2 linked regions of the Rhinolophus ferrumequinum genome follow. The protein of the gene in region 2 interacts with the protein of the main gene of each other region in a biochemical or structural test. Links are inferred from orthologs where the notes say so. Each region holds a gene or a part of one and is shown on either strand. Other genes may lie near its edges. The genes, in order: FIS1 and DNM1L.

Region 1 (15,882 bases), on a different chromosome or scaffold from region 2:
CATGGGGCCGACTGCAGGGAGACTCCCCTGGGGGATGATGGGGCTACTAGAGGGTGAGCAGCAAGTGGGACGATGCTGCAGCCACAAGGGAGAACCTTCCTGGTCCAATAGAGCTGTAGGTTCCAGCGCACCAAGAACCACAAAAACACACTGCCCTGAGAATCCTGAACACACATGCACATCCACCACCTGCTTACAGTAGACACCCAGGATCTCCTTAACAGCCCTTTAGAACTCTCCATGGCAGTGGTGCCCCAGTGGAGGCTACTGAGATGGTCTCAACCCTCAAGAATCCAAGATGGGGCCTCTTCACCCCACAAACCACAGCCTTGCCACCCCAAAATTAAAATGCTAACATTGTTTGAGTGCATCTAGATTGTAACATCATATTAACATTTTGCACCTTTTATTTCATAGAATCCCCACGACCACCCTGTGAATGGGTGCTATGATGCCCCTAATTTTACAGATAGGTCAAATGAAGCTCATTTTACCCCCTGCTCAAGGTGCAGAGCTAGGAAACAGCAGCACTGGACCTGGGGCCTGCACTTGTACCACTACAACAGAGTATTCCCACTAGGGCAGGGGCCATGTGTGACCAGGTCGCCACTACCGTTCCGGACAGGGGACTGCCCCCAGCACTCCTGGCTGCAGGAGCCCAGGTCCCAGAGCTGAATCAGGCCTCCCTTCTCTGTGTGGTGTCCAAGGCCAGACCGCAGGCGGCACCCACACTTCCCGGGGCTCTCTCCAACCTTCCGCCTCCCTCTGCTCCCTTCACCCTCCGCCCGGTACGGTACCGGAGAGAGCCAGCATGGATGGGAACTCCCAGCAGTTGTAGACACCCAGGGAGTCAGTCGCGCAGCTGTGCCAGAGATTCTCGAAGATGGTGTTGGTGGTGATGACGTTCCCGTGTACAGTGGACACTCGCCAGTAGCTGTTTGGCAGGGTCACCCCCAGCATGAGCAGTCCCAGGGCTGCTATGAAGAAGCCAAAGGTCTCCACAGCCACTGACATGGTGGGACACAGGCCCTGAGGGCCACCTGGGGCCCCGCAGGGAGGGGATGAGCCCCAGGGGACCTCGAGGGGCTTTGGCTAAGGAGGGGTGTTAAGGCAGGGTGGGGAGGGAGGGGAAGGGCGGAAGACAGGTTGCAGCCTTGGCTTCTGGTCTGTCTCCCGGTTTCTGCCTCCTTCCCTCTCTCTGGGTCTCTGCTTTCCCGCAGGTCGGTCAAAGGAATGAACCAAGAGCCCACGGCAGATGTTGACGAGGAGATGGAGGGAATAAACGAAACGGGCCAAAAGTCCACTGCCTCCGGGCTGCCCTGGGCTCCCCGCCCCACAAGGGTGGGGGGGGGACTTACTAGGGAGTGACTAACGGATACAGCCAAGGAGGGGCCCCCATGGGAGGCACTGGGAGCCAAGGGGAAGCGTCTGTTTCTGACTCAGCTTTCATCGGAGGCCAGAGAATGAAATAAGAGGGACAAGAAAAGACAGACAGAGAATGACCACAGGCAGGCCACCACAGCCTTCAATGGGGAAGGAAGGAGGGAGCAGAGCCACCTGAGGTTGGTGAGAAAAGTTCAAGAAACTCAAAGGGGTTGGGGCACTGAGTCTCCCAGGAAGATTAAAAGTTGACGGGAATGGGAATGAGGTCTGTGGGGGGAAACCCATGGCTCTGGAATCCAACTTAGATTCAACCCAGACCCCATTATTTACCCAAGTGACACGGGCATGAAGTGTGAGTCCCGTGAGCTCATTTCTGCTTCTGTGAACTAGATCTACTACCACTCACCTCAGAGGTTGTAGTGAGAATTGTGACCACAGATCAAACCTCCCCACATGTATGAAGTGCTTGATACTTGGTGACTGTCCTGGGTCTCAGTGCCACCTGCCCAGTGTGAGGCCATCAAGTGTTACTTTCCTCCAAACTTCAACTTCCTGAACTTGAATTACCCTCCCTTTGGTGGGTTGATCTTTGACCATCAGCAACAAGCTTGATGTTGCTGCCAAGGGTCCCGGAGGGGGATAAATCACAGGTGCAGGCGATCCTGCGGCTAATCTAAGCAGCTATTATCAGAGCTGTCACTAGCTCTATTAATTATGACTGATTAGAAACCTCTGGGTCCCCACCCCAAGCCAAGGCTGAGCACCTGTCCCACAGCAGATGGTCTCATTTTCTGCCCCAAGGCCACAGTGGGACAGCCCTGGCTCTCTTCTGGCAAGTGTGGCTGGAGCTGTCTCCAAGGGGCTGATCCTACACCCAGGCAATACACAGGACGTCGCTGAGCTGAAGTGTAAGCCCCCATTCCCCAACTTCCCGTGTCAGGCTCCTATGTGCTCCCCTCAGGGGCCTCCTCCCCAATCCCCCAGCTGGGCAGGCTTGGCTGTGGAATGAGAGGTATGCAGTGAAGCAAGACAGGCCCACGCTGAGCCTGGCACGAAGCGGGTGTGGGGCAAAGCGGGCTGGGTGGGGACTGGGTCTCCACCTTCCATCTCGGAGCCTACAACTGGGGTGTGCTGGGTTCCTAACCTCTCCCAAGACCCCTGCCAACTCCATGCCAAATACCTCTTTCCTTCCCCCCACCAGCAGCAGCACCCCGTCCCCTAAGGAGACTAGGGTAGGAGGAAGGGGAGGACACAGGAGGACAAAGCGAGGGGAAGGGCGGAGGTTTTGGAGGAAACTGAGTGGGGGGCCCCCCTGGTGTGGAAAACTCCACGTGCTGAAAAGCAGCTGAGTGGGTCAGAGGAGACAGGAGACATAAATCCAGGCCTGTCCCCTTAGCTCTGCCCTTCCCACCTCCGGTCTCTGCTTTCCCCCAGGATCCAGGCTGCGCCACGTGGCTTTGGGGAAGGAAGGAAGGGTGTGGGGTCTAGGCAGCACGGCAGACAAAGGAGAACCCCACAACAGTGTGGGGGGTAGGAGTGGGAGAACACAGAGCAAGAAAGGACCAGTTGTTACCTCCACTTCTGGGCTCAAGGGGACCCGCCCCTTCCTCAACAGAGACACAGAGGTTGGCAAGCCAAAGCCCAATTTTATTTACATTCATCCCAAAGCACATGATTTGGGGCTAAAGGACAGGTCTCAGGGGAGAGGAAGTTGAAGCCATAAAGGACAGTGATGGGGTTCAGGAGAAGGGAGAGTGACGATGGATGGGCCACTCTCCAAGTGTCCGCCATGGGCTCCCATGTATCCCTGGGCAGAGGCACAGGTGCAGTATTGTTCAGGAGGATTTGAATTTGGATACAGCAAGTCCGATGAGTCCAGCCACTCCTGCCACACCCAGGGCCATGCCTCCAACAATGGCCATGCCCACCAGTCCATCTGGAGAGAGAGATAAAGGGAGACAGTCAGGAGTCCAGCCCGAGCCATCCGGGACCACGGCTACCATGTCCTTCCTGCCCGCTGCTCCTCAACAGATGTGCTTCTCCACCTGGAGTCACAGGGTAACGGACTCCAGGGTTGGATACAGGCGGCTTCTGGGGGTTTGAGGAAGAACTGGTGGGAGGGGAGTCATTTAAAGAGAGACCAGAGAGCCCAGGTGTGGGGGTGGGGAGAAGAGTAAACTGGGGCTGTTGGGGCCAGGGAGACAGGAGGGTGGGGAGCAGAGGAAGACAGAGAGGAAGGCAGTCACCTTTCTTCATGGCCTTGTCAATGAGCCGTTCCAGTTCCTTGGCCTGGTTGTTCTGGGGCTCTGTCTGCAGCAGCCCTCGCACATACTTTAGGGCCTTTTCATATTCCTACACTCAGAGAAAACACACACACACCCTCAGTATTCCAGCACTCCTTCTGCCGTTCAGAGGGGCCTTCCTTTTGCTTGCCCTGGGGGCTCCTCCCTCTACCTCCACCCCCTCCCTCACTCCAGCCCCACCCAATGGAGTAGAGTCCACAAAACAGCCCCAAGTGTGTGTGGGGGGGTGATAAGCTAGGGGAGATAACAGCCCAGGCCTGGGGCTGCACCCCAATCCTGACGTCACCTTTCCCACACCCTCGGCACTCTGATCCTGTCTTTCACCTTCCCTCAGCATCCTGACCTGCTATCACCTTGCACCTCTGTACCTGACACCACCCCCTGCCTACTGCCTTTTTCAGGCTTTACCCTGGAGAGAAAGGAGAGGGTGCTGTGGACCACCCAAGTAGGGTGGAGTGGGAACAAGGGAGTTGTCTACCTTACCTTGAGCCGGTAGTTCCCCACAGCCAGGTAGAAGACATAGTCCCGCTGCTCCTCTTTGCTCCCTTTGGTTAGCAGCTCTACGGAGGGGAGGGGACAGGGTGAAAACCACTTCTCTCTCTTCCTAGTGCTTGTGTCCCAGAAACACCTTCCACTCTTTGAATCCCTATATGATCCTAGGAGAAAGTTCCGAGCCTCCCTTCCAACTCCAGTCACACCTGGCTTCCCAGTCAGAGCTCTGGGGCAGCGTGGACTCAGGCTGCCCAAACACCCTGGTGCTCAACACACAATACTGTAGTCAGCTCTGGTTCATCCAAGTGCACTGAAAGGAACTCAAGGCACTGGAGAAGCCAAAAGGCATCTCTCCTTAGTTTTGACATCTGTTGTGCTTCAATTACAGTTGCTTGTTGCCCAAATAAGTTAAAAATTTTAAGTTTGTATTCCCTCTCCCTTTAAAAAATCAGCTCAAAACTCACCTTCAATTAGTCTTCCCTGAATGACCCCACCCGACTCTTTCTTAACTCAGTGACTTACTTCCCAGAGGCTTGTGTGTTCAGTTGTACTCTATGCACTAGACTTTGTTGCTAAGTTTTTGTTGCTTTGCCGGTGTTTATAAATCTTCCCAATTGTTTGTCTCAACTAGACTGGCAGCCCTAGAGACTACTTCTATAGCAGGACACAGCTTTACAGGAAATCTGAAAAATCTGAATTGGCAAATTAGACAAATGTAGGGTGAGATTATTTGCATTAAGATTCTTATTTTTATTGATTTATAATAGGCATCCTTTGCTAGTACACTGACTGTTTGCTTACACATGAGAAAGAGGGTACAGAGAAACTGAAAGGTCAAATATTGTGGTTTCTGACAAATGGTGACCCATCCCAAAACAATGGGAAACAGGATTCCAACCAAAAACGCACCCTCTGTTCGCAGGCTTTTGGGACTACCTTCTGCACGTCTTCCATGCCATCCTCACAAAAAGTTTTCAGCAGCTGCTGAATAAGCTCCAGGGTGGGGGGGCAAGGACCCAGGACTGGGACACACAAGACAGGAGCCTCTAGTCCCAATTCAGCCATTAATTAATTAGCTGTGTGACCTCAGACAAGCCACTTTATAGTGAGACTACCAGATCACCAAAGTCCTGTAGAAACCGACATGCTGATTCTATTTGGCAAAACAACGATGAGGTGGTGATTAGCCAGAAGCGCCCTGGGAGAGGCCAGGCGAATGCACACCCCTTTGTTGCAGTGAGCTCATTAGAAGATATGAGCTTGGCGCAAAGGTAATTGCGGGTTGTGCAATTATTTTTAAACTTTTAGTTAAACCGCAATTACTTTTCCACCAACCTAGTAACTGTGAGGTGACTGTACTATAGGATCCCATGTTGAAAAAGGATCCCAGCACTTGAGATGGGGGGAGGGAACGACCAATGGCAGTAAAGAAGGACAGACCCTGCTGGCAGTTAGGAAGGGAAGAGTCGGGGAGCCTAGCACCTCACCCTCCAGCAGTGCAATGCCTTTACGGATGTCATCGTTGTACTTGCTCCGCACCAAGCACCAGGCATACTCAAACTGCGTGCTCTTGGACACCGAGCCTGCTGCCTTCTCAGACTGAAATTTCTTTTCAAACTTCTGCCATAGGAGAGGAGAGGAGTCATTTAGAAATGAAGGGGGCGAACCATTCTCTGATGGACCTGGGTGCCCATTTCCCAGTTTCGATCCATATTCCCCAGTCTCTGCTACATTTCCCTCACGGGTCTTGATTCCTGGCACCACAGATTCTGCTGTCACCATCCCTGGGACCCAGGCTTTCGGCTTCCTGTCGGCAGGCTGTCCTTGGACAGGACCGCCTCCGCTCCTCTACCCCTAGTGGTACCGAGAGGAGATGCCACCTGGTGGCGGCTCCAGGAACCGCTCCCAGAGCAGCTGACTCCGAGTGGGTGAACAGTAAACACATTGTTCAACAGTCAGAACTGCTCAACAGCCCACGAAGTCCCTCGTTGGAGACTGCTTCCCTCATCCCATCCCATCCTGCTAGGTCTGGACCTTTTCTTATCTGCAAAACAGGAATAAGAATAGTGCCTACCTTCTAGAGCTCAAAATGAGATCGCCTGCAATGCACTTAGCACCGTGCAGGGTACAGTAATATATGAAACTATTGATGGTCGCTAGTTCCCTGCCATTGAAGGAGCACGCAAAAACAGATCCGCACCCTGACATCCTAATTACTGCACGCACCCAGAACCCATTAGTTTTTCCACGCCAGACTCCAGGCCCTGAGTCTGAGGTGTGGTGGCGCACAGAAAACTACAACTCCCATTAGGCTCAAGGGCCAAGTGGAGCCTCTCGGCAGGAGCCGGACGCTGCAAAGGCTGCCGGGAGCCGTAGTTCGGCTTCCCTGGGCAAAGCTGATGATGGGAATAGGGTTTGGCCCCTATCCGACTCTCCTCGGACCCGCCCGCCCGAATCTTTCCTTTCCTTTCCTCGGGGCCAGGCCTCACCAGCAGGTCGTCCACAGACACCAGCTCGTTTAGCACGGCCTCCATGGCCGCCGCCCCCGCAATGCTCAGAACTCAGACGTTACCGTGCCACTGTCTCCATGGCCCACTGGCCGGGGCAGAGAAACACTTCCGGCGTCCAGCGGAAGTGGGCCTCCTCCCCTATGCAGAGCCAATCACCTCACGTAGCCAACGCCGAGCCCGGCCCCTGGGAGGCGCCCGCCACTTCCTCCCCGCGCACTCAGCGCGCGGGTGAGGGCAGTGAAGTGCACGCTGGGATCGGTACTCTTCTCAAGCCCGTTGCGCGTGGGCCGCGCACAGTGCTGCTTATAGCCCCACGTTCTTTTTTCCGGATGCCCTGCGTGTTTCTTCATCTACGGAGGCTGCCTCAAGAAAGGCTGCGACTGTATCTCGGTGGTCATCCGGCCCTCCCCCCCCCACTGAAAAGAGCAGAAAGAGGAAGGGGAAGAACCCGGCCTAGATCACACTTTTAGGGCTCAGTTTAATCCTGTCCACCCCCGCCCTCCGTACGCCCGAACACCAGCTCTAGGACGCCCCCAGAAACCTGGGACCCTGGAAGCTCAGTGACTTTTCAGTGCCTGCAAGAAAATCATTAAATGCCAGGGTTTCCAGGGCCTCTGTTACTCGCGCAATGCAAGAGGATCGATAACTGGATCTGTTAACCATACACCCAGAGACTGCAGTAAATAGTAACGGGATAGTATTAAAGGGAATTTAAAGAAAAGCTGTAGCCATTGCTTGCAAAGAGGGTTCAATCTTTTAAATATTTAGATAAAGCATCCTCTGGGTGTACCTAAAGCGGATGGCCTGCCATACGGGTTCAAGGTCAATGAAGAGCTTGGCAGTGAGGAGCAACAAAACATGGAAAGGGGAAATGCTGCGGGTTCCTCTGGCATCTGTTCTCTGCAGTTGGTGGGACTGGGTAGGTAGTGCTCAAACTCCTTTTACCTAGTTACAGAGAAAACCACAGGTCCAAAATAGCATCACTCAGTGCTTAAAAGCTCATGATACCAAACCCAGATTTAATACCTGATCTAATTGAAGTTTCAGTCTGTCCCGGAAATGTAATCTTAATCAGTTGGAATTTTCTGGTCAAGCACCAATAAAGTAAAGCTGTCAAGAAGACCCTCTCCACACTCTGCTCCTCCCTCTATAGAAAGAAGAGGCAATCTGCATGATAAAAACCCTTGCTCCCCACTAAAAGATGTCCTGGTCTAAAAGTAATTTCTTTTGTTCATACCACCCTTCTAGTTGCTAGATGGGATTCGGCCCAATGAGTTGCTTAATGAAATCAATTAGATCATCAGATTTACTCTGTTGAATTGTTTAACAACCTTGACCCACAGTGCTCCCCAATACACATTAGGATGTAAGTTCCATGAAGGCAGAGACTGTATCTTGTTTATCCTTGCATCTCCAGCTCCTAGCACAAGGTCAATGTTTAATAAATATTTGTAAATATGAAATAAAGCCAACAATAGTCATGTGCTGCTTAATGATGGGGATACGTTCTGAGAAATTGTTAGGTGATTTCAAACCATTACAAATGCAGATTTCCATTTTACAAAGGGTGATTTCTTGGATTTCAGAATCCAATGTATGTTTCTTAAAATACCCGGCCTAAAATAATTCTTATGCCAAGTAGACATATTTTGGGGTGATAAATTCTGCTGTACAGGCTACAAACCTGCATAGCATTTACTGCACTGAATACTGCAGGCAACTGTAACACAGTGATACTTGTGTAATGTGCTGTGCTACGACGCTGTGACGTCACTAGGCCACAGGCATTTTCAGCTCCATTATAATCTTAGGGGACCTCCTCCGTATATGTTCATCGTTGCAGTGCATGACTACAAAGGGCATTGTAAATGCAGGGATTATCATCCAAACACCTTTCACGTTTGCAAAGCCCCTTGAGTTTCTTTTGTTTTCCAATTCTCATGATAGCCTTGTGAGTTAGGTAGGCAAGTTATTCTCTATTTGGCTTGGGCACTTGAAATGATTTTGACATGAGCTCAGTAAACTTTGATAGAAACTTTAGTTTGGAGAACTGGCTCCCTTAAGACCACTAGCATAATAGTCAAGGAGAAAAATTCACATTCATTGAAAGATGCATCGAGCACCTAATTTTGGCTGGGCCTTAGTGTAAGAAGAGGGAATAAACAGATACGTAATATGAAGCAGAGCAGGACCGAAGACAGAGGGCAAGTACTGGCAAGGCAGGGGATACAGGGAGGCCAAAAGGGCATTAATTTTTTAGGGTGTTACTTCTGTGGGGTGGCCTGCTGCACCTTAGTCATCTTTGTATCTGCCACGGCTCTTGGCACAGGCCTGGCGCATGGCAAAATCTCCATCAGAGTTCCTTGAATGTATGTATGTGGAGAGAAAGAATGCCTTACTCAGTTGGCTCAATTCTGTGCCAATGAAGAGATCCTGAGTCTGAGTTTGTGTCTGGTTGGGTCCAGTTAGCATAGTCATCCACCTGGTGTCACGGGGATAGGAAACAGTGCCTGTTAATTTTACATCCAAATTATGTGTCTCCATCTTCTTCAGCAAGCATCCAAATGCAAACCACTGTCATCTCTGCCTGCATGACTTCCACAGCCACCTCACTGGTCCCACACATCCATTCTTGCCCCATTACCATGAATTGACCACCCAGTAGTGAGATCGTATAAAAACACAGTTCTCAATTTACCAGGAACCCTTTAATGGCTGATCTCACTGCCTAGAACAAAGGCCAGAATCCTGTAACAGAGCCTACAACATCCTCTATTATCTGGTCCATGCTTAATTCTGCCTCATCTTGAAGAAGGGCCCAGTTGGAACCCCCATAGTCGAGGCCTTGAAATGTCCCGGCCTCACCTTTCCTTGACCGTAGCTTAACAACAGATCATCTCCCTGTGGCTTGAACTTGGAATGTCCCGTCCCAGTTCCCTGCTTTAGAAAATTACCCCAATCTTATGATTAATACCTTAGGCTTATTGATCACAATCTCTATGGTCCAACATTCTTTCCAGGCTACTCCCATCATTGTTTCTGGGTTGCTGACGCCACTGGAGAACCACGTTGCCAGAGGGAAGCATTCATGCAGACCCTCTCATGCAGTCTCTGGAAAAATGCTCAGATTTTCCCTTAAATACCCCAAGCTGGTCTGAGAATGGTAAGGCAGTTTTCGAAGACTGCTGCCTTCTCAGATCTCAGGTGCTCTGACAATAAACGCTTATCCTAGTGCCCAACTCCTGTGTCGGTCTAGTGGCTGAGCGGGGCAGGCAGCAAGAGCCCTGGACTCGGTTGCCCTCTGGTTTCAATCTCTCCATTACTACTGTTAAAAAATACAAAATTCAACTGAGTAAATTTGAAGATCTAGTTGATTATTAAGCAATTCATGGATGGGGCAGCATCCCATCTAGCAACCAGATTGGATCTAGCAACCAGCCTCTCTAAGGCGCTGTACAAAATGGAAGGTTTTTATAGGGAGAAGGGTGGGGCAAGGGAGCTATTAACCAAAGAAAAGACTATTTTTAGACCAGGACATCTTCTTTTGGGAGGTGGGGGAAGGGAATGGCAAGGGTTTTTATTGTGCAGATTGCTGCTGCTTTCTATGGAGGGTAGAGAGGGTCCAAGTGACAGATTACCTTATTAGTGCATGATCAGAAAATTCCCGACTGGTTGATTAAGATAACATTTCTGAGAGAGGATGAAAATGCAGTTAGGTCAGGTATTAAATCTAGGTTTGGTATCATCAGCCTTAGCACAAGTGACCATTCTGGGCCTGTGGTTTTCTCTGTAACACTACCCCTCCCTGTCTGTACACCAGCCCCACAGGCCCTCTGCACAGGCAGTATCCTCTATCTGGAACATCTATCCCCTCCCCCCTTTTATTTGGCTCATTCATTCATTCATGATTTCATTTATTCAACAAATACTTATTGAGTACCTACTATGTGCCTGACACTGGCACTAAATAAAATTAAGTTCCTGTTCTCACGAAGCTTGCATTTTAGTAGGGGAAAACAGAAAAAAATAATAGAATGAGTAAATAACTAAAAACGCAATAATGTCAGGAGTTGAAAGTGCTATGAAAACAAATCAAGCGGGGTAAAGGAATTATGAGAGAAGAGGATACTATGGGAGGAGTGCCCAAAGAAGCCATGGAGAGGTGATACCTGGGCAGAGCACTGACGTTAGTGGATGAGCCATGCAGGTAAATGGGGAAGAACATTCCAGGCAGACAAAGCAGCAAGTGAAACACACAGAGGAGTGAATGTACAAAGGTGGTTTGAGGCCCAACCAGGAAGCCAATGTGACTGGAGTGGAGTGGGCAAAGGAGTGACAGAAAATGAAGGCAGAGAGATGGCAGGTCATTTACGGCCTTACAGACTATGGTGAGGAATCTGGATTTCATTTCACATGTGATGGAAAAGCATAGGGGTGTTTTGAGCAATAGAGTAACGATTTGAGCAATGATCCATTGTGAAAGGATCCCTCTGGCTGCTGTTGGAGAAAAGGCGGTAAGGACAAGAATAAATACAGGAGGACAGTTAGGAGGTTACTGCGGTGGCCCAGGCAAGAGACAGGTGACCTGGTCTACAGCAGTCGTGGTGGGGGTGAAGGGATTTAGGATACGTGGTCAGATTCAGGATATTAGGTACAGTGAGCAAGATTTGCTGATGGATTGGGTATGTGAGAGAAGAGTGTAAGATGACAAATAGGTTTTGCCCTGACTGACCTGAGTTCTTAGCTCTAAGACTCTTCCTTAGGGAAGACCATCTCTTCATCCAGACTAGGTGAAGTCTCCTGTAGAGAAGGAGAGTATTACCTGTCCTACATTTTCAGAATATAAAACTGTAACCTATACATTCCTGTCTTTGTTAGCACTGTGTTTTTGTGAGCCACACAAGTATTGGTTGGGTACTGGGTACAGTACTGAAATCTTCCAGGAGCCAGAGACTCTATTCTGCTCGTTTAGTTTTTCCTACGTAAAGGAAGAAATACGTGGCCAAAAATCACACCAGGAAGGTGCCATTATTAGCTCTATTTGACCCATGAGGAAACTGAGGATCAAAAGGTTAAGTAATCTGCCCAAGGTCACAGAGCTAGAAGTGGAGGAGCTGGGATTCAAACCTACGTCCTGCTTCAGTTAAGAGGCAGACCTGTGCGCTGAGAGAGGAAGAGTCAGCTAAAGGATAAATAGGAGAAGTGAAGAGAATAAGTTCATACGTACGCTCTAGTTACTCATGTTTTAAAAATTTAGGCATAAATTTGTAAATTTTTTGTTGGTTTACAATAGTGGGACTTTCCTTAAGCCGCAGGTGAACTAGGAAGAAGCAATTCAGGTTAATTCAAAACCAAATCAGGCAAAGCAATCCTGAGAAACCTTTGTTTAGCTTATACAGTAGTAAAATTATAAACAAAATCTCCCAAACCACCATCAGTGCTGCTGAAATTGTTGTAAAACTGGTTTCTGTCTCTTGGCTAGCAGCGGCTGTTTTTAGTTCACACTATTCATCTATTTGTAATTAAACACTTGTGTGATGATCTGGTTAATGCCACCCTCCTATACTAGACTGGAAGCTACATAAGGGCAAGGTCTGTGTCTATTTTGCTCATATTATACCACTAGAGCCAGCTCAGTGCCTTACACATAGATAACCTATTTGTGATTGTTGCATAAATGGATGTTGCTGTTACCATGATTAACTTTTTGGAAAGCAATGAGACAATATATAGTAAGACCTACAAGATATAATATCATTTAATTAGAATCTCCTGTGGGAAAAGTCAACAAACAACAAAAAAGGAAGGCATGAAGATATTCATTTCCTACATTATCTGTGAAGGTAAACAACTAGTCATATGGATTCTATGCATGTGGATGGTAATATTCAAAACAGAAAAAAGGCACGTGCTTCTCAAATTTGGTCACGTTAGTGGACAGAAGGGAAACTGACATTTTTTTGTTGGGGGGGAACTAAAACCTAACTGGTACTTGTTAGCACATTCTGGGCTCTGGGCCCCTCCCTTGACCAGAAGCTGGAGCCTGTTCTGGATTTCTACCCTCCAGCATCTTGTCAGTAGTCAGCCCAGAAGTGCTCAGGAAATACCCACTGAACAGAATTTCACTATTTGTGTTCTTCCAATCTTCAGTGATCAGTCTCCTCTACTTCCCACTTTCATCTACTATCCAATCAGTTAGGAAGTCCAATCAAGGGCAAATTGATTCATTCATTTATCCAACAAACATTTGTTCAGGGCCTACTGTGTGCCAGGGCTTTCTAAGTGCTGGGTAAGAGAAATGAACTAAACAGACATAGTCCTTCTCTCATGGAAGTTACATCTTAATGCTAACGAATCTTAATGCTAACGAATAAATATATGTAATCAGGCCACTCCGCTCCATTCTGTCGCCATACTCCAACAGCCTTCAGATTTTTTCCTCCTCCAACCCAGCCTGGTTGCTAGTTGTATTTTAAAATGCAAATCAGAGCTCATATGTCCTGATTAAAAATACCGTCTAAGGACATCATCTAAATTTCCTATTATGCACACGAAACCCTTCAGGACCACCCTGCTTACCTCTCCAGCTTCATTTCTAGGCACCCACGCGCCCTGCACACGGAGACGTTTTCATGACAGCCACCTTTCTTCCACCCGGAATGCTCTCCAACGGGAGATTTCCATTCACCAAACACCTACGTGCCTACATGGCAGGCAACTGCCAGGCTCAGGACCGTTACCCCTCCGGGACAGCTTTCTTATATCCGACCCCATGCCTCCATCTTCTAGGAGGCACAGCATTTATCACCCAATCCCACAGTCCTTTATGTGGACAGAGACTGTGCCTCGTTCATCTCTTAGCCAAAGGGCAGGCATCCAAGATCGTATGTGGTGAATGAAAGAGTAACGACAAGCGTTCCAAAACGGACGCTTAGAACCTTAGAGACTTCTGCACTTCCGGGTGGAGGTTTGGTTGGCACTCAAGCAAGGGAGAAGGTGACTCCTCGGGGGCTGCTCTAGGAGGAAGGCTCGGTGGTCCGGAGGACCCGCGGAGACGCGAGGGGGAGACCGCGGCGTCGGCACCTGCGCAGTAGTCGCCCTCCGCGGGAGGCGGGGCGGGGGCGGGGCCTCAGCTGGCCAATTAACGGGTGCGGCTCCGCGGGAGGAGCGGGGCGGGGCGCTACTGGGAGGCGGAGGGGGCGGTGCCGATGCCAGCGAGTCCCGAATCTTCGCCCCGGTCTCCACCTCTTGCTGTTACGCATCGTACCTCTGTGTCCCAGGGGTGATCGAAGTCCTTCCTGGTAACCCTTTCCCCAGAGACGTTCTCTGTAAATTAAAATTTACCTGTGGCCTCCTTAGAGTCTGTCTAGGTCCAAAAGTGTGTGTGATGAGTACACACATGTGCACGAACCACTTGGGATCGTTGTTAAAAATGCAGTCTGATTCAGTAGGTCTAGGGTGATCCTCAGATGCTGCATTTCTAACAAGCTCCCAGGGGATGCCAATGCTGAATGTTCTCTGACACACTGTGAGGAACAAAGGTGTGAAACAGTGGTTCTCAAAGTGCATCCCGGGACCAGCAGCTTGGGCATCACCCATGATAGAAATGAAATTTTGGAGGCCTCACTCCACATCAGCTGAATCACAAAGTCTGGGAGTGGGGCCTCGCAATCCATGTTTTTACAGACTGTAGGTGATTCTGATGCATGCTAGAGTTTGAGAATCCATGGACAGCAGAAAAGTCAAATTGAACCTCATCCCTCCACAGACTTGTGGCTGTGGTCAATTTGCCTTATCTGGTTAAGCTTCAGATTCTTCAGCTGAAAAATCAGGATAAAAATACTAATGCCTCCCTAGTGAATCTATTATGAGGAGAGAATGTGAGATATGCTTGTAAAGCACTAGGCATTCTATAAAAGTTAGCTATCATTAGCTATCATTATCATTACCGTTCCATTGGATTGCTCTTTGGCAATCCAGTCTTATTGCATATTTATTGCAACATTATTTACAATAGCTAAGACATGGAAACAACTTAAGTGTCCACTGATGGATGATTGGATAAAGAAGATGTGAGACACACACACACGCACACAATCACTGGAATATTATTCAGCCATAAAAAGAAGGAATTCCTGTCATTTGTGACAACATGAATGGACCTTGAGGACACTATGCTAAGTGAAATAAGTCTGACAGAGAAAGATAAAAAGTGTATGATCTCACTTACATGTGGAATCTAAAAAAGCTGAACTCATAGAAACAGAGAGCACAATGGTAGTTGCCAGGGTCTGAGGAATAGGGGAAGTGGGGGATGTGGTCAAAGATCCAGGTTCCGGTTATAAAATGAATAAATTCTGGGAACATACTGTACGGCTGGGTGACTGTAGTTAGCAATGCTGTATTATGTACTTGAAAATTGCTAAGAGAGTAAATCTGAAATGATCTCACCACACCGAAAAAAAAAAAGAAAGTAATTATGTGAGGTCATGGATAGATCAAGTAAACTTATTGTGCTAATTATTTCACAATATACACATGTATCAAGTCATCATGTACACATTAAAACACACAATGTTATATGTCAATTATATTTCGGTAAAGTTAGAAAGAATGTTATGAGACTTTAAGTGATTGATTATAAGTAAATGTATTTCTATCTCAATAAACCTTTAGCTAAAATGGCTTTAAGTGAATTATTTTAAACAGTTTGATTTTAAGCAAATTGGCCTAGAATTACTTTGAAGGTGTTGCGTTTCATATTTAGTTACTTAAAGAGTTGTTAGATTAAGAGAGATTGACTCATTGACCATTTAATTATGTAAATTGATCAAAAGTCACAACCACCAGTGCTTCTGGAGTCTAGTGGTAGTAAGATTGTAACTCCATAGGGTTTGGGGTTAATGAGGATTAACCCCAATGTGGGAAGCTTGTGGGGTTCTGGAGAGCACATGCACAGCTTCTGCATTCCAATTCAGATTTTAGGATAACACTGTGGCAGCCCAGCAAAACAAGTCTCAGGCCAGATTGGCCTGCTGGATTCCAGTAATTGACCTTTGCCTTTTGTGAATTAGCTTTATTCATGCTAATTATAACTAGTTTAGTGTAAGGTGACGCCTACTCTGTCTTTGTGGATTTATCCTTTAAGACAGCAGTTTAATTAAAAGTTGAAGCAGTTCTTTATTCTATTTTTG
Region 2 (15,067 bases):
CAGGGTGAAAAAGATAACAAGAGACAAAGATGACATTTCATAATGGTAAAGGGGACTATACAACAAGAAGACATAATAGTCATCAATATTTATGCCCCCAATCAGGGAGCACCAAAATATACCAAGCAACTACTAACAGAACTAAAGGGAGAAATTGACCAAAACACAATTATACTAGGGGACCTAAATACATCATTGACAGCTATGGATAGATCATCCAAATATAAAATAAATAAAGAAATATCAGCCCTAAATGACACATTAGGTGAAATGGACATAATTGACATTTACTGAGCACTTCATCCTAAAACATCAGATAATACATTTTTTTTCTAGTGTACATGGAACATTCTCAAAGATAGACCACATATTGGGACATAAAACTAGCCTCAGCAAATTTAAGAAGATTGAAATCATACCAAGCATATTCTCTGATCACAAGGCTTTGAAATTGGATATCAACTACAAAAAGAAAGCAGGAAAAACCACAAATACTTGGAGATTAAACAACATACTCTTAAAGAACGACCAGGTCAAAGAAGAAATTAGAGGAGAGATCAAAAGATATATAGGAACAAATGAGAATGAAAATACATCCTACCAAAATTTTTGGAATGCAGCGAAAGCAGTTCTAAGAGGAACATTTATATCATTACAGGCCTATCTCAAGAAACAAGAAAAATCCCAAATAAATAACCTCACGTTACACCTTAGAGAACTAGAAAAAGAAGAACAAATGAAACCCAAGGTCAGCAGAAGAAAGGAAATAATAAAACTCAGAGCAGAACTAAATGAAATAGAGAACAAAAAGACAATAGAAAAAATTAATGTGACAAAGAGCTGGTTCTTTGAAAAGATTAACAAAATTGACAAATCCTTGGCTAGACTCACTAAGAGAAAAAGAGAGAAAACACTAATAAAATCAGAAATGAAAAAGGGAAAGTTATAACGGATGCCACAGAAATACAAAGGATCATCCAAGAATACTATAAAGGACTATATGCCACCAAATTCAATAACCTAGAAGAAATGGACAAGTTCTTAGAAACACATAGCCTTCCTCGGCTAAACCATGAAGAATTGGAAAATCGAAACAGACTGATCACCAGTAACGAAATTGAATCAGTCATCCAAAACCTTCCCAAAAGCAAAAGTCCAGGACCAGATGGCTTCACTAGTGAATTCTACCAAACCTTTAAGGAGGATCTAATACCTCTCAAAATCTTCCAAAAAACTGAAGAAGAGAGAATACTCCCTAACTCATTTTATGAGGTCAACATTACCCTGATTCCAAAACCTGGTAAGGATAACATACACAAAAAAAATTACAGATCAATACCTTCGATGAATCAGTGCAAAAATCCTAAACAAAATTCTAGTAAATCGAATGCAACAAAGCATTACAAAGATTATTCATCACGACAAAGTGGGGTTCATCCCAGGGGCACAAGGATGGTTCAACATACACAAATCCATCAATGTGATACATCACATAAACAAAATAAAGGACAAAAAATCATATGACTGTATCAACTGATGCAGAAAAGCGTCAAGATGCAACATCCATTTATGATTAAAACACTTAATAGGTATAGACAGAAAATACCTTAACATAATAAACGCCATATATAACAAACCCTCAGCTAATATATAATTAACGGTGAAAGATTGAAGCCCTTTGCTCTACGTTCAGGAACATGACAGGGCTGTCCCCTATCACCTTTGCTTTTCAACATAGTGTTGGAAGTCCTTGCCAGAGCAATCAGGCAAGAGAAATAAAAGGCATCCAAATTGGGAATGTAGAAGTTACACTGTCACTCTTTGCAGATGACATGATGCTATATATAGGAAACCCTAAGGACTCCACCAAAAAGCTATTAGAAACAATAAACGAATACAGTAAAGTTGCTGGCTACAAAATCCACGTACAAAAGTCCATTGCATTCCTATATACTAACATGAAATCTCAGAAAAAGAAATAAAAAAACAATTCCTTTTGCAATCGCAACAAAAAAAATACAATACCTAGGAATAAATTTAACCAAGGGTATGAAAGACCTATATGCTGAAAACTATAAGACATTTTTAAAAGAAATTGAAGAAGACACAAAGAAATGGAAAGACATTCCGTTGCTCATGGACTGGAAGAATCAACACAGTTAAAATGGCCATATTACCTAAAGCAATATACAGATAATGCAATCCCCATCAAAATCTTAATGGCATTTTTTAAAGAAATAGAACAAAAAAATTATCAGATTTGTATGGAACCACAAAAGACCCCAAACAGCCAAAGCAATCCTAAGAAAAAAGAACAATGCTGGAGGTATCACACTCCTTGACTTTAGCTTGTACTACAGGGCAACAATAATCAAAACTGCATGGCACTGGCAGAAAAACAGACACACAGACCAATGGAATAGAACTGAGAACCCAGAAATAAACCCACAGAAATATGGACAGATAATTTTTGACAAAGAAGCAAAAACACACAATGGAGAAAAGACAGCCTCTTCAATAAAATGGTGCTGGCAGAATTGGAAAGCCACGTGCAAAAGAATGAAACTGGACTGCTGTCTGCCACCATGTATCAAAATGAATTCAAAATGGATCAAAGACCAAAGCATAAGACCTGAAACAATAAACTGCATAGAAGAAAACATAGGTACTAAACTTATGGACCTTGGGTTCAAAGAGCATTTTATGAATTTGACTCCAAAGGCAAGGGAAGTAAAATCTGAAATAAACGAATAGGACTATATCAAACTTAAAAGCTTCTGCATAGCAAAAGAAACCATCAACAAAATAAAGAGGCAAGCAACTGAATGGGAGAAGATTTTTGCAAACAACACCTCCGGTAAGGGGCTAATATCCAAAATATACAAGGAACTCATACAATTCAACAACAGAAAAAACCTGAAGAGATATTTCTCCAAAGAGGACATACAAATGGCCAATCGACATATGAAGAAATGCTCAGTATCACTAATCATCAGAGAAATGCAAATAAAAATCACAGTGAGATATCACCTCATACAAGTTAGAATGGATGTTATCAACAAGACAAAAAATAACAAGTGTTGGAGAGGCTGTGGAGAAAAAGGAACCCTCATACACTGTTGGTGGGAATACAGATTGGTGCAGCTGCTATGGAAGGCAGTGTGGAGGTTCCTCAAAAAATTAAGAATAGAATTACCATATGACCCAGCAATCCCTCTCCTGGGTATTTACCCAAAAAATCTGAAAACATTTATCCATAAAGACATGTGTGCTCCAATGTTCACTGCAGCTTTATTTACGGTGGCCAAGATATGGAAACCAAAATGTCCTCTGATAGATGAATGGATAAAGAAGTTGTGGTATATATACACAATGGAATACTATTCTGCGGTAAGAAAAGATGATCTAAGAACATTTGTGACAACATGGATGGCTCTTGAGATTATAATGCTAAGCAAAATACGTCAGAAAAAGTAGAGAACCATATGATTTCACTGATATGTGGTATATAAAACTGAAAACAACAAAAGAACAAGACAAACAAATGAAGAAACAAAAAACTCATAGACATAGACAATAGTTTAGTGGTTACCAGAGGGTAAAGGGGGACGGGAGTTCTAGAAGAGGGTAAAGGGGGTCAAATATATGGTGATGGAAAGAGAATTGCCTCTGGGTGGTGAACACATTGTGAGATACAGATGATGTATTACAGAACTGTACACCTGAACTCTATGTAACTTTACTAACAATTGTCATCCCAATAAACGAATTTAAAAAAAAAAAGTATTACAGTAAAAGACATATTGTCATTAATCCCTCTCAAAATACCCCTTGCTTCGAACCCACTTATCCCATCATTCTTTCCACTTTCTGAAGCAGTTCTGGAAGTCCTCTTTCATGTATTTAGTTGAGCTGTTGTGGCTGCTTCAATGACCTAAACCAATTCAAAACGTTTACCTTTCATGGTTATTTCAACTTAGAGTAAGAGCCAGAAGGCTCACAATGACAGATCCAGTGAATAAGGTGGATGAGGACACAACGTAATGTTTTTATTTGACAGAAATTGCCATATACCAGAAGTGATGTGTGACACGGAGCCTTTCTGTTGTGATCAACAAATATGGTGACTGCTGCTGCTGAGTGCCACCAGATAGAAAGGCAGGGATCTTTAATTCGGGTGCACTGAACATTAGTAAGTGTGTGACAAGCTTCAATTTGTTTGGTGCAGTCAGTCAGGTGAGCTATGGTTGAGAGAAGGTATGTTTTAAAGTGTGCCATAAATCATCCTCCATCTTGACAACACTCCATGTCACACATCACTTCTGGCATAGCAATTTCTGTCAAATAAAAACATTACGGTGTGCCCTCATCCACTTTATTCACTGGATGTGGAACCGTAAGACTTGTGGCTTCTTCCTGAAGTCAAAATGATTCAGGACATGGAGGCAGCCCTGACAGCGCAACTAAAGACACTCACAAAAGGCGATTTCCAGAACTGTTTCAAAAAGTAGCAAAAACGATGGGATAAGTGTGTTCGAAGTGAGGGGTAGTATTTTGAGGAGGATTAATGGTAATGTGTCTTTTACTGTAATAAATTTTTTTTATTTAAACATTCACCATCTTTTTTGATCACACCTCTTATATGGAAAGTTTCCAGTCTACTGCTACAAAACACCTTGAAAATACCACCAAAGAAGATTTGATTTATATCATCTCCTCTGATTCCATTTACAAAACAGGTTTTGATGATAAAAATCTCTGTGTTTTAAAGTATTATCTTGTTTCAGTGAACAATATTTACTCAAAATATTTATGGAGCACCTGCTACATACCGCAGTCTGTTCCATGGGCAAGGAATGGGACCACAGAAGTGAACAAAATAGTCTCAATAAAAACATTACTTATAATTTGTTATATGTTGATGATTGAGAGTTGCCAATCATTACAAATATTAAGAGTTACAAATACTACAATATGTGTAGGCAGGGCTGAACAGAATCTATACAGATCTTATAGCAGACCAAGGAAATTTGTTTCTGAAGTAATTTCCAGTGCTTTAACTATTTAAAAGCACACACAGTACAGGATGTCTATGGTTTCCACGGTTTCCAGTGTTTGGAAATACATGTAGCATTTTTAACATTAAGTTCCCTGTCATAATACTTATACTCTACACTTTAATTTTGTAGCAAGATGTAGCGATGCACCTCATGGAAAACGATCGGGAAGCGTCCCCTTCTCAATAGAAATGACCATCAAGAAATGAAAAGGACTTAAAATCTTTATACTAAGTAGTCATTAATCCCTAGCATCTCTGAAGTCTGATCAAAGTCCTATGATTCCTCTTCAACCAAGAAAAGCAGCAAGCAGAGAAAATGGAACTTATACTTCTGTCACTCTAGAAATAACATTATTTCTTCAACATTTCTACATACAAGAAATTATGATGTCTTAAGACACCCAACATGGAAAGACAAGAGAACCTTGACGTTCAGTTTAGATGGAAGACAAAAACTACAGCCTATGCCAAAAACTGGGATGTTCCTTCCAAATACCCAGATCCAAGTGGTTTGAGGGTATTTTGGTTTTTAACTGCTTTGGCGTTCCCCAAACCTTGGCGATTACACTGCAGAAAAACACTCAGGTGCTACACAGTAGCGGCCTTTTCAGCCCCCACCGCACGGTTCCAAAACTGACTCCGCAGCCCCAGAGCAAGGCAAGGAAGGAAATAAAACACCCAGCCGCCCTGAAACCAAACAAGTAGGGGCTAGCCGGCCCACCACGAGCCAGTGCGCCCCGCGTGCCCGGCGCGACCCCCAGGTGCCCTTGGAAGCAGCGGCCTGCGGGGAAAACCGCGCCCGGTCCCCGCGGACTCCAGTTCCGCCCGACGGGCTGTCCTTCCCCCACCCCGCCCCTGGGACCCGCCAGGCCCACCGCGCCGGCTCCGCCCCTCGCCTCCCGGCCAGGCCCCGATTCCCAGCCCTGATGCAACGCAACCTGGGGCAGCAGACGCGGCAGAGCCCGGGGAACCCCGGGGCCCCAAGCAGCGTCCTCCTGCCACAGGCCGCAAAGCCTGGCCCGGGAGCGTGCGCTCCCGCAGTCCCGACCAGGCCCGCGCCCCGGGCTCTGGCCTTGGCAGACATCGCCCTCGTCTCTCACCTGCGTTCCCACCACGACGATCTGAGGCAACTGGATGATATCAGCGCCCACAGTGTTGAAGACGTCCTGGAGCTTGTTGATAACAGGAATTAGCGCCTCCATAACTCCGAAAACACAGGACCCCCGCCCGGCCGGCCGCGGCAATGAATGGGGCCGCGGCCCAGAGTCCGCCTCCTTCCTCCTCTCCTCCGCCCTTTCCTCCGGAGCCGGCACCCATTGGACCCTGCCCTGCCGCTACCTGCCCCCTCCCGGCAGGCTGTGCGCTGAGAGGGCGGTGGCGAGAAACAAAGCCTGCCGGGAGTTGTAGTTCTGGAGCAGAGGAAAGCCAGGGCCTACGGCATCCAGAAGGCTTCGCGGTGCGGGCGGACCCCGAGCCGGGAGTGGCGAGTGCTTGGGAATTGGGTAGCTCCCTGGCTCTTGTCAGATGACTAGGGAGCGAGGCTCGGATTGTAGGAAGAAACTCGGACGTTTTTGACAGTCCTTGAGGCGTATTGGGTGGGAAAATCCCGAACGTGTGTTAAGTACAACGGAGTCTCTTGATTATCTAAGGTGTCATTTCCTTATGAGGACGCTTTCTCAATAAGGGCGGGTTGGAAAGGCTTAAACAGCCCATGTCCTCAGACACCCCAGCCAGGTGCAAAAAGTTTGTAGGCTGACAGTGGAAGGCATGGGGTACTATTTTGCAATAATACAAAACCAGCCGAGGTTAGACGATGCGGGTTCTCCGGGATTTGTGTAAAAACGTGTTCAAAAAGAATCTTAAAAAGTGTCAGAGTTTTAGAGGGGAAGGGCTGGGCCCTTGTTTTCTATAGTCTGTATAAAATGTTACTTGCTGTGGCCTGATTCCGGCAAAGTGGAGATCTGATAACTGCCTTTCTAGCATTTTGCTAAGTGTGCCTACTGTTCTGTTCCTAAATGTTGTTTTTCTTTTTAGACAGATAGTATCTCTCTTCTACGCCAAACCTCCAAGGTTTTCTATCTCAAAGTTTTTTTTTAAAAAAGTGACATTTGAGCAAAGATCTAAAGTAAGTGAGGAGAAAACCCCCTTCCCTGCTTTATTTTTTCTCCATAGCATTTATGCCCATCTAACATGCTACACATTGAACTTGTTTATTCTCTGCTTTTGCTAGATTATCAGCTCCTAGATGCCAGGGACTTTTAACTGTTTAATTCATTGATGAATCCTTAGTCCTTAGAAAGTGACAAACAAGAAAGTCTCAATCTCAGTCCCCTCTGAGTTTACAATCTAACTGAGGACCATTATAAATAACTGGGTAAAGTCCTATGGTTGCATGTATTATGGACCACATAATAGGAGTTTTTCTAGCCTGAGGGGAGGAGTGAAAGTTCAAGCAAGACTTCCTAGAACTCACTAGATCTAATCTCCATGAGGGCAAAGACCACCAGCAGCAGTGCAAGTTGTGCACTACACAACTTCAGTGGGTACACCATTCACCAGCACAGCCTCACACAGTAGCCCTGGGGAACAAGCTTGATTTGTTTAGCAGGACACATGGTATGTACTCAATAAATATTTTTGAACAAACGAATGAACTGTCATCTAAGACCTGAAGGTCCACTAATGGTGTTTTGGCATCATACCAAGTTTTATGAACATTCCCTGCTCTTTGATTCTTTTTAAAAACAAAAATTTCAGAGACAAAGTGGGGGAAAATTTCAAAACTCCAAAAAACAGAGCAGACAAAAGAGAGGGGATAGGTTCATGGTGAACTTCCATGGGTATAACCAGTAACTGTTTCATAGGGGCACCGTGACCTGGGGCAAAAATGATGCAGCTACAACCTACAACCTACAAATAGGCCTTCCCTTATTTGTGGCCCCAACAGACATAGTCTTTTCCTATTTGCTAATGGCAAAATTAAAAGAGCAACCATACATGTATTCCAGAAAGACAAATGTCATGAATTTTACATGGCATTATCTATTTCCATTTATATTATAAAATATTTGTGATAGCACATCCAGATCTTTGTATGAACATGCTCAGGAACAACAGTGACTGCTTTTTAATTCTTTTTCTAGGAGAAGGAAGAATGATCTCAGGCCAGTTCTCACAAGTTCTTCTATCACTACCACCACAGTTAGATTTAAGCAGGTTTGTCCAGTACTTGTCCAGACACTAGAGCATTGAGTTCATTGGGCACAGAAGAGAAGTGTCTGAGGCTAGAGAAACAGGAAGTGGTGAGGCCTTGAAAAAGAGTGGCTCTAACTTGATAACATTAAAAATAAATAAATAAATAAATAAGGCAGGGTACTCAACGTGCAATGTGTTTCACTGGAGACAAACAAAGCAAACCAATTTGGGTTTTCACATTTAAGTTCAGAACACTCTTGCTTGTGGGACAGCCACTTAGCCAAGTATGACTTCCCTCATCTAAAGTAGGATAATGTGTTTCTCAGTGGGTTGCTATGACATCAAATTAAGCCATTATTCAGGTACTCTCTCCAAAGGCTTTTTAAAAAACTCCTTCTGCCATCCCTCTCTCACTATAAGTTTATGATTTAGGCAGGACAGTTAGATTACAAGTCTCAGAAATTAAAGTCTAGTTGGCTCAAAAAGAGGAATTAACTTGTACAACCAAAGGGCTAACATGACGTTGGCCTCAAAACTAACTGGAACCACGGGCTCACGCAGCATCAGAATTCTCTCTACCTCTTATCTCTGCTTCTCTCTGCATATCTACTTCATTCTCTCCAGTCAATTTATTCCTGTGGATGAAGTGAGCAGACAGTGGTGGAGACTGTAGGGATCTCACCAAGCCAGATGCCTCAGGGCCAATGAGGTGGAGCGAATATGAGGAGGAACTGAAACTAGGTTTCCACCCTGGTCCACTGGTGTATGTGTTTCCTATTGCTGCCTCAACAAATGACCACAAACTGAGTGGCTTAAAACAACAAAAATGTATCATCTTACAGCCCTGTAGGTCAGAAGTCCAACACTTGGTCTCACTGGGCTAAAACCAAGGTATCATCAAGGCTGTAGCTCCTTTCTGGAGCGTCTATGGAAGAGTCCATCTCCTTGCCTTTTCTAGATTTGAGACTGCTCACACTCCTAGCTCTTGACTCCCTTCCAACATCTTCAAAGCTAGTAATGTTACATCTTTTTGACCCTTCATGTGCCATCACATCTTTCTCTGATTGCAGCCAGGGAAGGTTCTATGCTTTTAAGAACCCATGATTAGAGTAGCTCACCTGGATAAACCAGGACAATTTCCCCATCACTTTCTGTGCCTTTCATTATATCTGCAAAGTCCCTTTGCCATGTAAAGTTCACAGGTACCAGGAATTAGGCTTTGGACTTATTGGAGGGGCCATTATGCTGCCTACCACACCAGGTTAAAGTGATTGGTCCGGGGATGGACTTGACCCAAGCAAGGCCATTTAGAGACCCTCCCAGAGTATTCTTTAACTTGAATTAACCAGAGAATTTTCTTTCTCGTTATAAGGATGTGACCTATACGGATGTGAGTCACTGTCACCAGAGAGCATGTTTCCTACCACATATAATAAATTGGTTTTGGAAAATAAAGTAGACTCCTTATTCACCGTAAAAAAATTTTCCAAATCCAACAATTGTCCCATACTTCTAAATGTACAAATATAAGACATAATCTAGGAATTCTAATCCCCATAGTTAATCACTCCCTCTTTTCCTTGTTGCCCTTTTCACACATTATTAAACTATTATTTTTGTGAGAACTTATTGTGTGCCAGCCACTGTGCTCAGCATTTTATAGTTTTTCCTGTGGGATAGGTTTACAGATATGGAAACCAAGGGTCCAGCGGTTTAAGTAAAGTGACACATTTACATAGCTGGTATGTGGCAAAGCTGGGATCAAAACAGGCTATTAATCTCTTAATCTCTATACATATTGCCGCATTTCTTCATTCATTCCCTCATTTATTCAACACATATGTATCAAGTACCCGTTAGGCATATGGATCTTAGGCACTGTATTTGCTAAAGAGAGGAGGGACTATGAACATGATAGTAACATGTCCTTCCCCCTTAGCCAACAGAGAGCTAGTCACTGAGAGGAGAATTAGTGTCAGGTTTAGCCAGTTATCTCCACTATCCAGTATAGTGCTTGTTGCATAGTACTACTCTAGTAAACTTGGGGTTCCCTTTTCTTTTACATGAAAAGTCTGGAATAGCAAGGATTCCAGCCCCTCTAAATTGGTACAATTGCAACTAGGATTTGCAATCAAACCCAGCCAAAACATATAAGATTGGCCTGGCATAGGACTCCTCATCAGAATAGCTGTCAAGTTACTTTTCTTGCTAGGGGGTAGACTGGCTTTGTTCTTAAAACTTCTAAAGAGAGAAAGTTTATCTTAAATTAAATTTATAACAGGAAAAGATTTAATACTTCTTGCAAAAGATCACTGAGACTATTTTTATAGCATAAGTATTCAAATCATTTTATGCCAACATACTGATCATTAATCATAGTCAAGTTGCCATTATCCATGGCTTCAAATCATAGGGGAAAGTTGTCATGCGGGGTGTCATGCGGGGACTCTGGTCCTGCTCCCCGCATAAGAACGCAGGATATGGCTAGGCCAAAAAGGAACACCCACGGAGCCATAGATAGGGGAGTCATACCACTATATTCTCGCTGGCAGCTGGGTTGGAGACACAGGGGGCAGGAGCCACACGATTCGCAACCTGCCGTCCGCTTCTCCGCCGATCCCACTTGGTAACTGCAGTCCGCGCTTGCTAGCTTAGCCACGGCAGTTATATCAGTGGCTAATGGCTAACCGTAACAGCTGATGGCCAACTAGCCACAGCTGATGGCCATCTACTACCCGAGCCAGCACCTTTCCATATGAGGTTGAGAGCCTGGAAACTGCTCTCCTGGCTCTGTCCCCACAAAAGTACAGATCTAATATTATTATAAAATATACAACTCTGATGGGGAAGCCTCTTTGTCATATTTTGGAAACTGCCCTATTTTGCCAAAATGATAAAGTAAACAGCTTTGATCAATTTGCACTACTCCATAGGCGTCAAGCTTCACACAGACATTGTCAGCAAGTGCAGGAAATGGTCTGCAGATGGTGGCGTCTGTCAGATGGTTCAGAAGCCAGCAATTGAACCTGGCGAGATACTGACAGCCCATTAGAGGGCAGTGTGACAACACAATTAAGAGTAGTAGAGTCCTCTCATCTTCCTAGACTGTTTTCTTCCCTTGGCTCCACACCCATACACCAATGGAATTTAACCCTTCTTTTAATCCTCCCACCCTCAAAACAAGTGGCGTATTTTACTAACTGTTTGAGATAATAGAGTGATTTTACATCACAGTAATGCCAACAACTGAAAGTTCCATGTTAGACATCCTTGTCCTTAAACTACTCTATTTACCCTGTCTCTGGGAATTTCTCATTAGCCTCTTTTCTTTACAACTGCACTCGAGGATCCCAAAATGTTGTGTGGCGTTCTCAGAAACTCTTCAAATTTCCTTTCTCCTCTGTTTCTTAGGCTTCCTGTTTCTCTTCCCTACACCAACTCTATTAACCTACACTTTCCGCTGGAGAGACACTTATGTTTTCAGCCCTTGGATTGCTACCTTTGTGTATCAAAGGCTCACCTGTGTGACATCCACCCTGTATTTCTTCCTTCAGCAGCCAGATCTAGTAGAGACTTTGAGTATCTTTGCTTTCTAGTTCCCCAACCAGTTCATCTAAACAGTAGTGGGCAGTGTAAGTCAATTTGAGTTTTAAGAACCAATTGTGTAGAAATTCCATGTAATCGTGATGGATAAGACTTACACATTAGTGACACAATTAGTAAAATCAGTGAATAAGGCAGTGTATCATAAAGCACTAAGCACAGCGTATGTAATATGTGTAAAAGTTTATCCAACAGTGACTTTTTGTTTCTTACTGATGGCTTTTACTTATTCAAATTCCTCTTCAGTTACTGAATGTTTGACTAAATGGAGGAATGGATGGATGGGTGAATGAATGAACAAGGTTTTGCATATTAAATATACTTTATCCGGGCTAGTCAGGTTCTAAAATAATATGTTGTTATTTTAGAACCAGTACAGTATAAGGGAAAAAGTTCTGAATTAGTTATCCTCTTTGCGAAGCCATGATCTTTACTCACAACCCCTGCTCTATGAAATAGGACTACTAATATAACTACTAAGGATGAGACCTACAACCAAATAGAAGTAAATTCTTAAAAAGCATTTGCAGAACTAGTAAGTAATGAAAATATAGAAAATGATGTAGCCCAAATCCAGACAGCAGTCTTATAGGTGTGCCACTATTCACACCAGTAGCAAAAACAAAAGCAAACAAAATAAAAATGAAAACAGTAACAGGCATTAAATACTATATTAAGTACTAAAGATACAAAGGCAAATAAAACATTCATTGGCATTCCTCCAAAAAAAATCTCCTTTCTTCTCATTCCTTCCTCTCAAGAAGAAAACGAACAAGTAACCAGAATTAATATACCAGAAGTCAGCACATAGGAAAGGGACCTAGACTGGGCTTCCTGGGTTAAAGGATGAATAGGAGTTGACCAGAGAAAGAGGAAGAGAAAGAACCAGGCAGAGAGAGCAGCTTGTGCAAAAGTGAAGAGGAAGGAAAGAACATGATACACTGGATACTTTAAATAGTTTAGTGCGGCTCCGTGCAGAGCAGGAGGATCTGTGAGGGAATGGTGAGTGGCAAGGCTATTATCTGGTCGGTCAGAGGTGAACTCATGATAGTGACGAGTTAGAGATGTAACCTCTAGGTAATGGAGAAGGAAATGGAGAAAAATCAGAAGCAGCAGCAAAGAGACACATGATCATATGAATATTATAAAGATCACCCCCATCCCACGGGACTGAGATGAGGTAAGAGAGAATGGGAAACCAGATAGGGCATGGTGCAGTAATTCAAGTCAGAAATGATGGTAATGTATACTAAGGTAGTAATATCGGAGATGGAAACACCCGGATGAATTTAGAATAGATGTACTTGTCTAGACGCCGGGGTGGGGAATAGCCAAGGGCAGAACGGGCAATAGGAATATTTAAGAGATGGAAGAAAGATGTTAAAGAAACCATAAAATAGTGACCAAAAGAAACCATAAAATAGTGACCAAAAAGGAAAAATAAAAGAGAATGGCTTGTTCAAAATGTATTTCAACATCCTTGTGGGCTTTTCTTTGCTTCAGAGGCTAGCAAGGTTGGTTTCTGGTTAAGATATTTCTTTCTAGCTTGCAGCTGGCTGCCTTCTCCTTCTATAGCCTTTCCTCTGTGCACCTGTGGAGAGAGAGCGCCCTCTAGTATCCTTTCCTCTTCTTATAAGGACTCAGTCCTATCGGATTAGGGCTCCACCCTTAGGACCATTTAACCTTAATTACCCCTTTACACGCCCTATCTCCAAATACAGTTATATTGGAGATTAGGGTTTCAAAATACATCTTTAGGGGGACACAGTTTGGTCCAAAGCAATATCATTAAATAAACAATATAAAATATGAAAATCTCACTTCTAATCATACTTTCTAGATGGGAACCACTCTTAGTAACTTCTTTCTGTTTATACTTTTCACTGTTCTGGCATAACATATAAATTAGATCACACTACACACTATAGCTCTATTTTTTCACTCATAGTGAAGAAATCTTTTATATATAGATTTTCTTCACTCGTTGCTATAGTGTAGATATGTTCCGTATCAATACATAAAAATCCCAAAATATTTTTTCCAACAGACACATAGTATTTTCTTGTAAGGGTTATAATTTATTTAACAGTTTTCTTATAATTTATTTAGCAGTTTTTTTCTTGGTAGATAATAGATCACTTTGAATTTACTATAGACGACGTTGCAAAAAATACCCTTATACATGTATATATTCATACTTTTATCAGTATCTCAGTAGGATAGATTCCTAGAAGTGGAATTGCTAAGTCAAAGGGTATGCATCTTTAAAATCTAAATAAATATTGCTGTGACAGTTTATACTTCTAGTAGAAGCATGTGGGAGTACCTATTTCCTATTCCCACCGTAGGGTAGTATCAATATTTTTAGTATTGTTAATGTAATAGGCTAAAAAAGCAATCATTTTTTAAAATTTGCTTTCCATTATTAGTGAATTTTTTGCATGTGTTAGTCCTTTATATTTCTTTTTCTGTGAATTACTTATTCATAATATTTGCCCATTTTCCCCATTGCATTGGTATTTTAAAATATTCATTTGTATGAGTTTTCTATATTTATTATGGAAAATAAGCTCTTCAATATGTTGAAAATATTTTCTCTCAATATGTATTTTTGTCTTTTAATTTCATTAATGGTATTCTTAAGTGTATGGAAGTGAAATTACAGGGTCAAATCTGGCCCTTTTACAGGTAGGTGGTATCAGATAAGTGTGTTGGGGGTTAGGAATCAGATTCTAGGCATGGGAGCTGGCTCAGGGCAGAAATGGCCCCTTTAAGTGCCTTCTCAGTGTCTAAATGCTCCACTTGAATGCCTGACCTGGCAATCAGCCCAGCCTATTTGCCTGAGTAAAAACTTTGACTCTTGAAGAGGAGATTTTTATATGTTTGTTAGCACTAATGCTGAGCCCACCAGCTACTTATTTGCACTCACAGGATCCACTGACACCCAGGGGGCTTTGGCTGAGAGATTGGAACCTTGGCTGCACAGCAATGGAGGAAAGGTTCTCCATACTGCATTATATTAAGGAAGCACTTGAAAAACATTTCGAAAAATAGAAGTGACAACATATATTTATAAATACAGTTAAATTATACTTGCATATGATACCAAATATAGGTTTTTTAAAAGGCATGCAGAATCAGGAACAATGAATAACAAAAATATAAATAAGAATCTTATCATACTAGAGCCTAAAGGAACATTAGCAATTT

The links.
Region 1: the proteins of DNM1L (region 2) and FIS1 form a complex in vitro, tested with the Homo sapiens proteins (2 studies listed by BioGRID). The link is inferred for Rhinolophus ferrumequinum from reciprocal best matches to the Homo sapiens genes DNM1L and FIS1.

Annotation. Positions count from the first base shown.
Region 1 is NC_046290.1:91,302,788-91,318,669, forward strand, and holds FIS1 (mitochondrial fission 1 protein), read right to left. Parts: upstream 6,826-15,882; 5' UTR 6,713-6,825; coding exon 6,668-6,712; intron 5,799-6,667; coding exon 5,666-5,798; intron 4,247-5,665; coding exon 4,170-4,246; intron 3,736-4,169; coding exon 3,630-3,735; intron 3,320-3,629; coding exon 3,219-3,319; 3' UTR 3,010-3,218; downstream 1-3,009. Other genes in the region: CLDN15 (claudin-15), read right to left, coding at 798-1,014. UniProt on the Homo sapiens protein: Involved in the fragmentation of the mitochondrial network and its perinuclear clustering. Plays a minor role in the recruitment and association of the fission mediator dynamin-related protein 1 (DNM1L) to the mitochondrial surface and mitochondrial fission.
Region 2 is NC_046293.1:41,500,487-41,515,553, reverse strand, and holds the start of DNM1L (dynamin-1-like protein), read right to left. Parts: upstream 6,425-15,067; 5' UTR 6,262-6,424; coding exon 6,160-6,261; intron 1-6,159. UniProt on the Homo sapiens protein: Functions in mitochondrial and peroxisomal division.